Linked DNA regions of Macaca fascicularis. The protein of the gene in region 2 purifies or fractionates together with the protein of the main gene of each other region. This does not show direct contact. Links are inferred from orthologs where the notes say so. Each region holds a gene or a part of one and is shown on either strand. Other genes may lie near its edges.

The links.
Region 1: the proteins of CDC25C (region 2) and CDC37 purify together in Homo sapiens (affinity purification with mass spectrometry; 3 studies listed by BioGRID and IntAct, with this or other methods). This does not show direct contact. The link is inferred for Macaca fascicularis from reciprocal best matches to the Homo sapiens genes CDC25C and CDC37.
Region 3: the proteins of CDC25C (region 2) and SUFU purify together in Homo sapiens (affinity purification with mass spectrometry; 4 studies listed by BioGRID and IntAct, counting the BioPlex papers as one, with this or other methods). This does not show direct contact. The link is inferred for Macaca fascicularis from reciprocal best matches to the Homo sapiens genes CDC25C and SUFU.

What each region holds. Positions count from the first base shown.
Region 1 is NC_088393.1:10,958,363-10,962,005, forward strand, and holds part of CDC37 (hsp90 co-chaperone Cdc37), read right to left. Parts: intron 2,752-3,643; coding exon 2,476-2,751; intron 2,245-2,475; coding exon 1,983-2,244; intron 1,891-1,982; coding exon 1,775-1,890; intron 1,691-1,774; coding exon 1,568-1,690; intron 633-1,567; coding exon 450-632; intron 350-449; coding exon 278-349; intron 1-277. UniProt on the Homo sapiens protein: Co-chaperone that binds to numerous kinases and promotes their interaction with the Hsp90 complex, resulting in stabilization and promotion of their activity. Inhibits HSP90AA1 ATPase activity.
Region 2 is NC_088380.1:144,825,068-144,828,710, reverse strand, and holds part of CDC25C (M-phase inducer phosphatase 3), read left to right. Parts: intron 1-351; coding exon 352-397; intron 398-3,159; coding exon 3,160-3,193; intron 3,194-3,234; exon of another isoform or gene 3,235-3,303; coding exon 3,304-3,393; intron 3,394-3,643. UniProt on the Homo sapiens protein: Functions as a dosage-dependent inducer in mitotic control. Tyrosine protein phosphatase required for progression of the cell cycle. When phosphorylated, highly effective in activating G2 cells into prophase.
Region 3 is NC_088383.1:111,512,365-111,516,645, forward strand, and holds the start of SUFU (suppressor of fused homolog), read left to right. Parts: upstream 1-1,344; 5' UTR 1,345-1,535; coding exon 1,536-1,717; intron 1,718-4,281. Other genes in the region: ACTR1A (alpha-centractin), read right to left, coding at 1-21. UniProt on the Homo sapiens protein: Negative regulator in the hedgehog/smoothened signaling pathway. Down-regulates GLI1-mediated transactivation of target genes. Down-regulates GLI2-mediated transactivation of target genes. Part of a corepressor complex that acts on DNA-bound GLI1.

The DNA.
Region 1 (3,643 bases), on a different chromosome or scaffold from region 2:
TGGTTTGCATAAGGAAACTGAGGCTGGACTCAGTCACATTAACAGTGACTATCAGTCACAAGGGACATACGCTCAAAGCTCAGCATTTATCTGCTGGATGCTGGGACACAGTAGGTGCTCAATAAATGTGGGTGTGTGCCAAGGTAACACGACCCCCCTTAGTCCTTGGAGAAGCCTTGAAGGGGCACTTTCACCAACTGGCTTCAGAGACTTGGGACACAGGGCTGGGGGAGACACATGGCCCGCTGGAAAGGCATGGGACGTGGGGGTTACTCACGGTGGGGTCCATCTTGCTGATGGCGTCTTGCAGCATCTGCACGTCCTTTACATCGAAGCACTTCTGGAGTTCCTGGGGGTATAGAAGGGCTGGGGTCAGGGGCTGGGTCCCTGTGCCCTGGGGGGTCCCGCTCAGGGTCCTCCTGCCGCCCGCCTGGGCTGGGGAGCCGCACCTCAGGGAGGGACTCGTAGACCTCGACAGGGTCCAGGCCGCCGGGGCCAAGCCGCTTCTTGCGCTCCTCCTCCTCATACTCCTTCATGGCCTTCTCAATGCGCAGCTTGGCACGGCCCCGCACACGCTCCTTGAAGGCTTCTAGCTCGTCGTTGAAGCCCTCCATGTACTGGCGATCGGCTGTCTATGGGGGTCGGGCAGTGCTCACTAGACTTGGCCCAGTGCTCAGGAGGGACTGGGGGCCCAGGACCCTCCAGCCACAGCTCCTCAGAGGTGCCCCAGGGCTCCCTAAGTCTGTTCCTGACTTACATAAAGGGCTTCCCAAGGCCTGGGCTCCCCTGCCAGGGACCTCATCTGGCATTTGCTAAAGACCACCTCCTTGGGAGCCCTGCTCTACTGCAGATCCGAGACACTCGTGTCCTCAGTGTCCCTGCATGGGCACCTCTAACTCAACACGGCCACCTCCCAGCCTGCCTTGTCCTTGGTCTCCCCAGTCTTGGTAAGGGTACCCCTGTTCCTCCAGGTGCGCAAGTTAAAAACCCGAGAGGCTGGCAGGCGCCTGTAATGCCAGCTACTTGGGAGGCTGAGGCATGAGAGTTGCTTGAACCCAGGAGGCAGGGGTTGTAGTGAGCTGAGATCACGCCATTGCACTCCAGCCTTGGTGATAGCAAGACTGGGTCTCAAAAACAAAAAAAAGCCCAGAGCCCTAGAGGCACCCTCACCTCTGTCCTTTACCCACATATCCACATGGGGACCTCCAGCACATCCTAGTGCTCCCATTTTTTTTTGTAATGCAGTTTTGCTCTGTCACCCAGGCTGGAGTGCAGTGGAACACCACAGCTCACAAATTCCTGAGCTCAAGTGGTCCTCCTGCTTCAGCCTCCCAAAGACTTGGACTATAGGACTCAGTCACCAAGCCTGGCCTGACCTCCACTTTTAAAGTCTGGCAGCATCCGCCCACTTCTCTCCCCCTCCTTGGCCCCGCCCTCTCCTGATCTAGGATTCGGTGATTGGAGGGGCTTGAGTCCCAGTGGACAGGAGTCGGCCTTACCCAGAGCGCTGTGGGCTGGTTCCCTGGGGAGGGGGCCTCCAGCCACCTGGCAGCTCAGGGGACCCTACCTTAATCTTAGTGAAGAACTGCCGGAAGCAGGCCCGGGGGTCCACCTTCAGGCTCTTGGCCAGCTCCAGGATAAACTGCATGACGATTGTCTGGTGGGCCACCTGCTCCATGAGTGCACATTTCTGCCAGGGAGAACAGGCACAGTGTTACCAAGTGGCGGCCTCAGGGCAGCACCTTTTCACAGCCCTGGGGAAAGCTCCACTCACCTCCTCCACCTCTAGGTCAATGCACCAGATGACCAGGTAATTGGCCGTCTCCTCGCACACCAGGTGGACATTGTCTGACAGGTACTTTTGGCTGTCATCCCAGCGGCGGAGCATGCCTGTGGGAAGATGCTGGCAAGGTGCTGGAGGGCCCTGGAGGCAAAGGGCCTGCCCCGACCTTGCCCCCCATAACCTCACACGCCCCACTCACCAAAGTGCTTGATCTGTTTCTCGTACTTTTCCACGAAAGTCTTGTGTTTCTGCTCCCTCACCTCCTCTGAGTCCTCCTCTGTCTTCTCGGGCTTGGTGTTGACCATGCTCTGTGGTAGGGTGAGAGGGGGAGTGGGCTGGGGCAAGGCTGCGGAGCGCCTCGAGTGCGGCCGGGCGGGCCGTGGCCGCAGCGCCCATCCCATCCACGGCGGAGGTGGTGACGAAGCCATGAGCATCAAGGTGGCGGGAGCGTGGGCATGGGCCTTGGGGCAGATCAGAGGAGGGGACCGGTGGGGTGTTTCATCCGCCCGGCCCTCCAAGCCTGTCCCCCCTCCCACGTGGCCCCCGTCCGTCCCTCAGCTCTCTGCCCCACACCACACTCTTCAACTACACCGCCGCGGTCCTCCCCTGACCAGGCATTGGGTGCGCATGCGTCCTGGCTGCATACTCGCTGGCTGCGCAAGTGCACTGCCCGCCCCGCCCGCCCCGCACACCTTGCTGAAGCCGTCTTTGCTGAGCGTGTCCACGTTCCAGGGCATGCTCTTCTCCTTCTTGCGCATCTCTTCCAGCTTCTGCTCCCAGCTCCGCTCCTCTTTGCGCAGCTGCTGTGCCTCGGCCTGCAGCCGCTCCAGCTCTGCCTTGCCGCCCTCAGCCACCTCCAGCTCCTTCAGCTTCCTCTGGCATTCGGCCACCTTGCGCTTGCACTCGCGGCAGCCCCTGTCCAGTTCCTCCTTCTCCTTCTGGAACTGCTCCATGCGCTCCACCCGGGCCTGCGGGCAGGGGCGGCCTATCAACTTTGGGGAGCGGCCTGTCCCTTACCCCCAGCCCCATACCCAATCCCCGCACCAGAGATGGCCCCGGGAAAAAGTATGCCTCCACCTCCCGTGCCCTGGTCTCCCAGCTTCCGCCCCTGCCCCCACAGGTGCCGACGCACACCCAAGTGGGGTCCGGTCCCTCCGTCCTCCGCTCAGAACCCTGGCGGCTCCCATCTCACTCAGAGCAGAGTCCAGGTTGTCACCACAGCCTACGTAGGCCCTACACAATCTGCCCCAGCACCTCCCCTGCTAACTCTTCCTTCCAGCCACACTGGCCCCTCACTTTTCTCACCTTTTCTTGAGACCATTTTTTTTTCTTTTAGAAAAAAAACAAAAAAACAGGGTCTCACTCTGTCGCCCAGGTCAGAGTGCAGTGGCCCAATGACGACTTACTGAAGCCTCGACCTCCCTGGGCTCAGGCAATCCTCCCACCTCGCCTCCCGAGTAGCTGGGACTACAGGTGTGCACCACCACGCCCAGCTAATTTTTGTATTTGCAGTAAAGATGGGGTTTCGCCATGTTGCCCAGACGGGTCTTGAAGTCCTGGGTTCAAGCGACTCTTCCGCCTTGGCCTCCCAAAGTGCTGGGACCACAGGCAGGAGCCACTCTGCTCTGCAGAGCCTGCTTTTTTCTTGAACTTCAAGGCCTTCACACTGGCTGTTCCAACTACTTGGAATGATTTTCCCTCAGATCCCCCCACAGCTGACTCTATGGCACCCGCACCATCTGGGCTCCATGTTGCCTTAGCGAGGACCCCTTCCCTAACCACCTTCCTATTGATGGCAACCTCCCGCTGCCCCCGTCTGGAATTCCCTGCCTCAACACCAGCCACCACTCACATCATATG
Region 2 (3,643 bases):
TATAAAATATTCCAAAAGGAATGTTTCATAAGTTAACCTTCCAGAATTCTAATTTCAGATTTTCTGAGTGATAATCTTTCTTTTCTACTCATAAAAAAAAAAAAAAAAAACTCCGTAGGTAGCAAAGTACAGTGTTTCCCAGCACTACTTCTTTTAGTGACACATAAAACCTTAAGTTTCTGTGAAATTGTACCTTGTACTATGAAATGGGTATCAATCGAGAGGCTTTGTATTCAAAAGCTCAGTCCTTGAAATTAATATGGCTTACTGGTAATGAAGAAAATCTGAAGGAAAAACAAGATGCATGGACAAAAATAACTCCTTTTACTGATTTTTTATATTTGATTGCAGGTCACCTGGATTCTTCAGGACTTCAGGAAGTGCATTTAGCTGGGATGTAAGTTCTGTTGCTAAATGAACCCCATGCAAAAGCTTTTTAGCACTGGTCATAGAGATTTTATCCTGTGCGGACTCTGCAGAGTGCAAAACCTTTCATATTGGGTATAAGTGGGCTTTGAGGCCTAGTTCCTTACCTTGAACAGTTTCTAAGGTTTCCAGATCTAAATAGTGTTGTGAAAATGAAGGCTATTCATTTTAACTGTCATAATCAGAAGTATCTATAAGGAAATGAAGGAAAATGGTATACTACACTTATATAGGCTTTTATTTGAATGTGAAAAGTGCTGTATCTTAGTAATTCAAAGTACAGAGTGGCCAGGCGCGGTGGCTTACATCTGTAGTAATCCCAGCACTTTGGTAGGCCAAGGCAGGCGGATCAGATGAGGTCAGGAGTTCAAGACCAGCCTGCCCATCATGCAGAAACCCCGTCTCTATTAAAAATACAAAAATTAGCCGGGTGGGGTGGCACATGCCTGTAATCGCAGCTACTTGGGAGGTTGAGGTAGGAGAATTGCTTGAGCCCGGGAGGCGGAGGTTGCAGTGAGCAGAGACCGCACCACTGCCCTCCAGCCTGGGCGACAGAGCGAGACTGCGTGTTGAAAAGAAAAAAGAAAGTACAGAGTGTAGGCTCTGGAATCAGTGTCTGGATTCCTGGCTTACTACTTCATTCACCAGTTGTGACTCTGCTTTAGACCTTAATTTTTTTTATTTGTAACATGGAGATAATAATAGCACTTGTCATAAAGTAGCTATTGTAAGGATTAAATAAACTGTGTATCTAACACATACCAAGCATTTTATTTATGTATTTATTTTTATTTTTGAGATGGAGTCTGGCTCTGTTGCCAAGGATTGAGTGCAGTGGCGCCATCTTGACTCACTGCAACCTCTGCCTCCCTGGGTTCAAGCGATTTAAGCAATTCTCCTGCCTCAGCTTCCTGAGTAGCTGGGATTACAGGCATCCACCACCATGCCTGGCTAATGTTTGTATTTTTAGTAGAGATGAGGCTTCACCATGTTGGCCAGGCTGCTCTTGAACTCCTGACCTCAAGTGATCAGCAACCCCCTCGGCCTCCCAAAGTGCTGGGATTACAGATGGGAGTCACCTGGCCCGGCCTGAATTGCTTTAAATGCTCTAACCCAGATAGATAATGAAATCCACAGAGGGAGGATAGAAATTTATATATAGATATGTTTTTTGTTTGTTTTGTTTTGTTTTGTTTTTGGAGATGGAGTCTCACTCTGTTGCCAGAATGGAGTGCAGTGGCCTGATCTCAGCTCACTGCAACCTCCGCCGCCCAGGTTCAAGCGATTCTCTCACTTCAGCCTCCCGAGTAGCTGGGACTACAAGCACACGCCACGATGCCCAGCTAATTTTTGTATTTTTATTTTATTTTTTTATTTATTTTTATTTTTTTTTGAGACAGAGTCTCGCTCTGCCGCCCAGGCTGGAGTGCAGTGGCGTGATCTTGGCTCATGCAAGCTCCGCCTCCCGGGTTCATGCCATTCTCCTGCCTCAGCCTCCCGAGTAGCTGGGACTACAGGCGCCCGCCACCTCGCCCGGCTAGTTTTTTTGTATTTTTTAGTAGAGACGGGGTTTCACCGTGTCAGCCAGGATGGTCTCGATCTCCTGACCTCGTGATCCGCCCGTCTCGGCCTCCCAAAGTGCTGGGATTACAGGCTTGAGCCACCGCGCCCCGCCAATTTTTGTATTTTTAATAGAGACGGGGTTTCACCATGTTGGTCAGGATTGTCTCGATCTCTTGACCTCGTGATCTGCCCGCCTCGGCCTCCCAAAGTGCTGGGATTACAAGCATGAGCCCCCACGCCGGGCTTTTTTTTTTTTTTCTTCCAGACGGAGTTTTGCTCTTGTTGCCCAGGCTTGAGTGCAGTGGTGCGATCTCGGTTCACCACAACCTCCCCCTCCCGGATTCAAGAGATTCTCCTGCCTCAGGCTCCCGAGTAGCTGAGATTACAGGTATGCGCCACCACGCCCAGCTAATTTTGTATTTTCAGTAGAGAGACGGGTTTCTCTGTGTTGGTCAGGCTGGTCGCGAACTCCCAACCTCAGGTGATCCGCCCGCCTCAGCCTCCCAAAGTGCTGGGATTACAGGCGTGAGCCACCCCGCCCGGCCAGAAATTAAATTTTTTTAAAAAATTAGCCCTGGCCGGCACGGTGGCTCACGCCTGTAATCCCAGCACTTTGGGAGGCTGAGGCGGGCGGATCACAAGGTCAGGAGATTGAGACCATCCTGGCTAACATGGTGAAACCCCGTCTCTACTAAAAATACAAAAAATTAGCTGGGCGTGGTGGCGGGCGCCTGTAGTCCCAGCTACTCAGGAGGCTGAGGCAGGAGAATGGCGTGAACCTGGGAGGCGGCGCTTGCAGTGAGCTGAGATCCTGCCACTGCACTCCAGCCTGGGTGACAGAACCAGACTGTCTCAAAAAAAAAAAAAAAAAATTAGCCCCAATACACTGTGCTGGAAAATTAGTAAATTGTATAAAACTCGTTCATCTTTGGTACATGTTTATTTATATGGTTATACAGGCAAAATGAGGGTCTTATCCCCAAGATATCACTTGAGTCTTCATATTTACCACAGAGAATACCCTATGTATTGTTGTTGGAAGAGACATATCAACTGGGAATAGGGCTCCTAGAATGAAATTTTAAAAATGTTGGGATGCACCAAATCCACTGAAGAATAATCAAACAGTATTTGGGGCTAACCTGACAGGCAGTTTGTTTTAATCTGCAGGAATCATCACCAGCACCTAATGAAATGTAGCCCAGTGAGTAGCCTCTCTTTTTTGGGTTTGGGTTTGCTTTTCAGGTGGGAGACAGAGGGTTTCCATTGCACCTGTGACTTGATGCGGGACGTTCTCAGCAAACTCTTTTTTAGGCACAGCTTCTCTGTAGCACTCCGAATGGTTTGGACCGTGGCCATAGAAAGAGAGATGCAATGTGTAGCTTATCTGCAAATAAAGAAAATGTGAGTGTTTAATGGAAACCTAGATATATTGGCAGTTTTATTTTTTTGAGTGAAGAAACTTGTTGTTATCATAGTGAGACGTAGAACTGTTTATACCTCGTATGCTAGACAAGCAAAACTGTATTACTATAGGGGAGAAAAATTGTTTGTTTTTGTTTTTTCTTATTAAAGTTTGGCCCTAGGACAGACACCCAGCTCCAAGTTCTCCACAGTAGGTCATCATTATTTCTCATGTTCAGTTGATCATTTT
Region 3 (4,281 bases), on a different chromosome or scaffold from region 2:
GATCACATCGTAGGACTCCATGGCAGAGGAATCTCTCCTTCTGGGGAAGGAACTGCCTAGCCGGGTCCGCCGCTAGCGCCACTGACACGCATGCGCAGTCTAGCCGCCGGCTCAGGGAGGCGAGGGAGCTGCCCTACCTCACCTCTGAAAAACTACAATCCCCAGCATGCTTTGCGCCTGGGTTAGCGCTCTAGGTTGCTTTGTTGCCCGCCTAATTTAAGACTGGGAGTCGTATTTCCGATGCACAGTACCCTGGGATTTGTGGTCTCCCTAGATTAAACAGCCAGAGACACAGGTTGATGGTCATGTTGCATGCCTGGATCTGTAGTCCCTTTGAAGGAGTTCGCAGTGCATACTGAGGTGTATAGTCTTCTTGAGTACTTGTCTGTAGTTCGGTTTGGATTGGTCGTAATTCATGGATGTTTGGATTTTGCAGATCAGTCCTGCCACTCCCCACAACGTTCCCTTAGACAATATAAGGTTCTCATGCTTTTATTTGGGTCTATAAGACTAATAAACATCTCCTAGCACCTCACACTCTAACGAAAAGGAAATGTTAACACACGTACGCGACAGGACATATTCCTACAACATAGGAAAACAATTTAAATTGCATAAAATTAGCTTTAAGGAAAAAACCTGTACATTGTTGTTGCTTTTTGGGTTTTCTTTTTTTCTGCATAGGTGTAAACTTTATAACAGGCTAACATTGATCCGAGGATTGGCAATTGGAACTACTGTTATAGGTAATCTTTTGGTCATTAAAACATCATCTAAGGGTTTCAGGAACTGCTGTAGTATCTCTTTAATTTTCATGAGGAGCTAGAATTGGCATTGACGGTTGAGAAAGTGGAGGTGAAGAGAGGTTATGTGTCACTGCTTTCAAATGAGCCCAGTGCATTTTTTTCTTTGGATTATGTTCTTCCCCAGCCCCCTTCAAATTGCAGGAACCTTTTTGTCAATAGCCCTAGAAAATATTAGATTTATTATAATCTATTAATATTAACGCCCCATGGATTAATGAATCAATCCATTGTCAGATTTATGTTTAAATCCTAGTTAGCAGCGCGTCAGCAAAACAGTAACAAATCCTTTGTTGGCGCACTTCTTGGTGCTTTCGTGGGACCCTAGCACCTCAGAGGGTGCTCAGCATCTCTAAACTTGGGTTCCTCCTAACACTAGGGGGAGACCAAGAGCCTTGGGACACTCCCAACACGGGGGGGGGAGGGGCCTATTGTCAAGTCACGCCGTCTCTGCCTGTGACTAGCACAGACACTAGCCAATGGGTGCTTGGATAGGGCGCGCCGGCGCCCCGCCTTCCTGAGCGCCCCGCCGCCCCGAGGCACCCTCTGGCAGACTCCGCGGCGGCGACAGCCTGGGCGGACAGTGCGCCGTGCGCAGGCGCGGAGCTGGACCTCGCTGCAGCCCCCATCGCCTCGGGGAGTCTCACCCACCGAGTCCGCCCGCTGGCCCGTCAGTGCTCTCCCCCTCGTTTGCCCTCTCCAGTTCTCCCAGGGCCTGCCCTACGCGCCCCGATGGCGGAGCTGCGGCCTAGCGGCGCCCCCGGCCCCACCGCACCCCCGGCCCCTGGCCCGACTGCCCCTCCAGCCTTCGCTTCGCTCTTTCCCCCGGGACTGCACGCCATCTACGGAGAGTGCCGCCGCCTTTACCCTGACCAGCCGAACCCGCTCCAGGTTACCGCTATCGTCAAGTACTGGTATGCTCTGGGCCGCGGGGAGACGGACAGGCGCGGGCTGGGAAGGGTTAAAGCGCCGAGGGCGAAGTAATTTGTGGGAGGCTGGGAGGAGGGGTAGAGAACGGTTAAAGCACTTGGAAGGAGGGCTTCCTGCTGCGAGGGAAGGAGTTAAGGCTCAAGTTGGGAATGGGGACAAAGGGGTTAACGGAGCCTGTGGGTAGTGAAGGGTTAACCGGGTTTAGGAGAATAGAGTGAGGACTAGGGGTGTGTGTAGGAGCAGAGAGGGGAACGGCATGAGCGAGGGAACTGTAAACGTGGTGAAAAGAGGGGGCGCCTGTAGGGGGTCATTAGTGGGCGAGGGGAAGCCAAGCGGGGGCGGCAGAAGTGGGATGGGAGAGGCGAGGCGGAGCCTGGGGAGCATTTGAGAGGGTTTTGGAGGAGCGAGGCCGGAGAAGCTCAGAGGGCAAGAGACTGCATAGGATGGCGGGCGGGGGGCGGTTCGGGGGGCCCGGGGCTCTCCTGTTGGAGGTAGGAGGGCCAAAGATGAGGGCCTGGTGCTTGTGGAGAGATGAGGAGGAGGTCTCCTTTTGATACCTTCCCGATGAACTCAGACGTCGTATCAGGGTAAAGCTTTTGCTTTTGAAGTTTGACGGAGCAGCTCTTCCTGATAAACTTCTTGCTTACTCTGCACTGTTCTCTTTCTCCGTGCAGAGCTTCCTCCTAGCTCTGCAGCGGCTTTGCTTTAGGACATTAGGTAGAGAGAACCATGGTTTGGTTTAGGATTGAAAGGGACCACAGCTTCCCACCTCCATTTGGAAATAAATGATGGAGACCCTGGGACTCCAGCAGGGAGGAATTGTGAAGTGGGACATAAAGAGGAGCTTCTTGACCATGGCCTGCAGTTTCTCCGGGGAGCTGAGAGTAACCCTCAAGTAGCTTTAGGGTAGGAATGGTCTTTTCTAATTTCCCGTTCCTGTTTGCAACCTGTTTCTTCCTGCAGCATTTGGGCAAAACAGATGTTCTGGGGACTCTGGAAAAGAACCTGTCCTCATGGTCTTGCTGGACCAAAAACAGATACTGGTTGAAACTGTCCAGGACTACATTCATGCAGGCATTGTGTTAGATGATCTTCAGTGAGTCCTGAAAGATGTTCGGCAGCTGCTTGGGGTGTAGCCAAAGGGTAGACCTGAAGGGGCAAGTGGACATCTTTGCTGGTTACCTCTCCTTTTAGAACTGAGTCTCCCTCTTGGTGAAAACCTGTTACTTCCCCTGGACATGGATTTCAGTAGGCTGTGCAGGGCTGAGGCCAGCTGCCTGTGTCAACGGGAGGATGCCAAGAGGCCAACAGCGTGGAGGGCCTGGGGACCAGCCACCTGCTGTCTAGGAAGGGTTGTAGGGAACAGCCTCCTCTGTTGGAGTAGCCAGGAGGAGGTAGAACTGGTGTCACAGTCCTCTCTGGCTGGCAAACAGTTCTCTGGTTGAGAGGAGTTGTTGAAGAGTGCTTCTGAGTGGAAAGCAGCTCTTGCTAGCTTAATGACCCATTCTCATTGTGCCTTTATATTTAACTATTTGTTGTGATGAACTTGTTGTCATGTGTCATGAGAAAGGTAGGCCTGGGCTGGGCACGGTGGCTCATGCCTATATTCCCACCACTTTGGGAGGCCTTGAGGATCCTTTGAGGCCAGGAGTTCGAGAGCAGTTTAGGCAACATAGCCAGACCTTGTCTCTGTTATTTGAAAAACAAAAAAGGAAGTGGGCCTGGCTCTGCCATGCTGTTTGTTCAGGCCTCATTTGAGTGTGAGGAGAAATCCCTACATAGATTCAGGCAACTATTTTTATGTCACACAAGTAGCCATAAAGGATAGAATTGCATGTTAAAGGTATGATAGTGTTTGCAAAGGACTAAGGGCAATTTTTTTTTCCCTTCCTGCTGCAAGCTTGTTAACAGCCGTATCTTCAGAGATGGGCCAACATGTGATAATGAAGAAAAGGGATTGTACAGCACTTTGTGAAAGCCTTGCCTAGATGCAGAAAAATATAAAGAGAAACAGCACAGTGACTGGTACTTTCTCTTTTTTGTTTGAGACAGAGTTTTGTTCTGTCACCCAGGCTGGAATGCAGTAGCATGATCTTGGCTCACTGCAACCTCTGTCTCCTGGTTTCAAGCGATTCTCATGCCTCAGCCTCCCAAGTAGCTGGTATTACAGGCGCACACCACCATGCCCAGCTAATTTTTGTATTTTTAGTACAGGCAGGGTTTCACCATATTGGCCAGGCTGGTCTCAAACTCCTGACCTTGAGTGATCCACCCACCTCGGCCTCCCAAAGTGCTGGGATTACAGGCATGAGTCAGTGCGCCCAGCCGTCAATGACTGGTACTTTCTAAGATGCGGAGGGGTTTGCAAAAATAAGATCCTGAAATTCATTTATATTCCTCACATTTGGGATCCCACGAGGTTTCTAGCAGGATGACTGACCCAGACTGTCTGGGTCTGTCTGTGGCCCAGGGTAGCTTGGGATTCATTTTGCAATAGCAGGGTGGCTCTGTGGCTAGTGATCCCTGAGTAGTGGGGACTACTAACTGA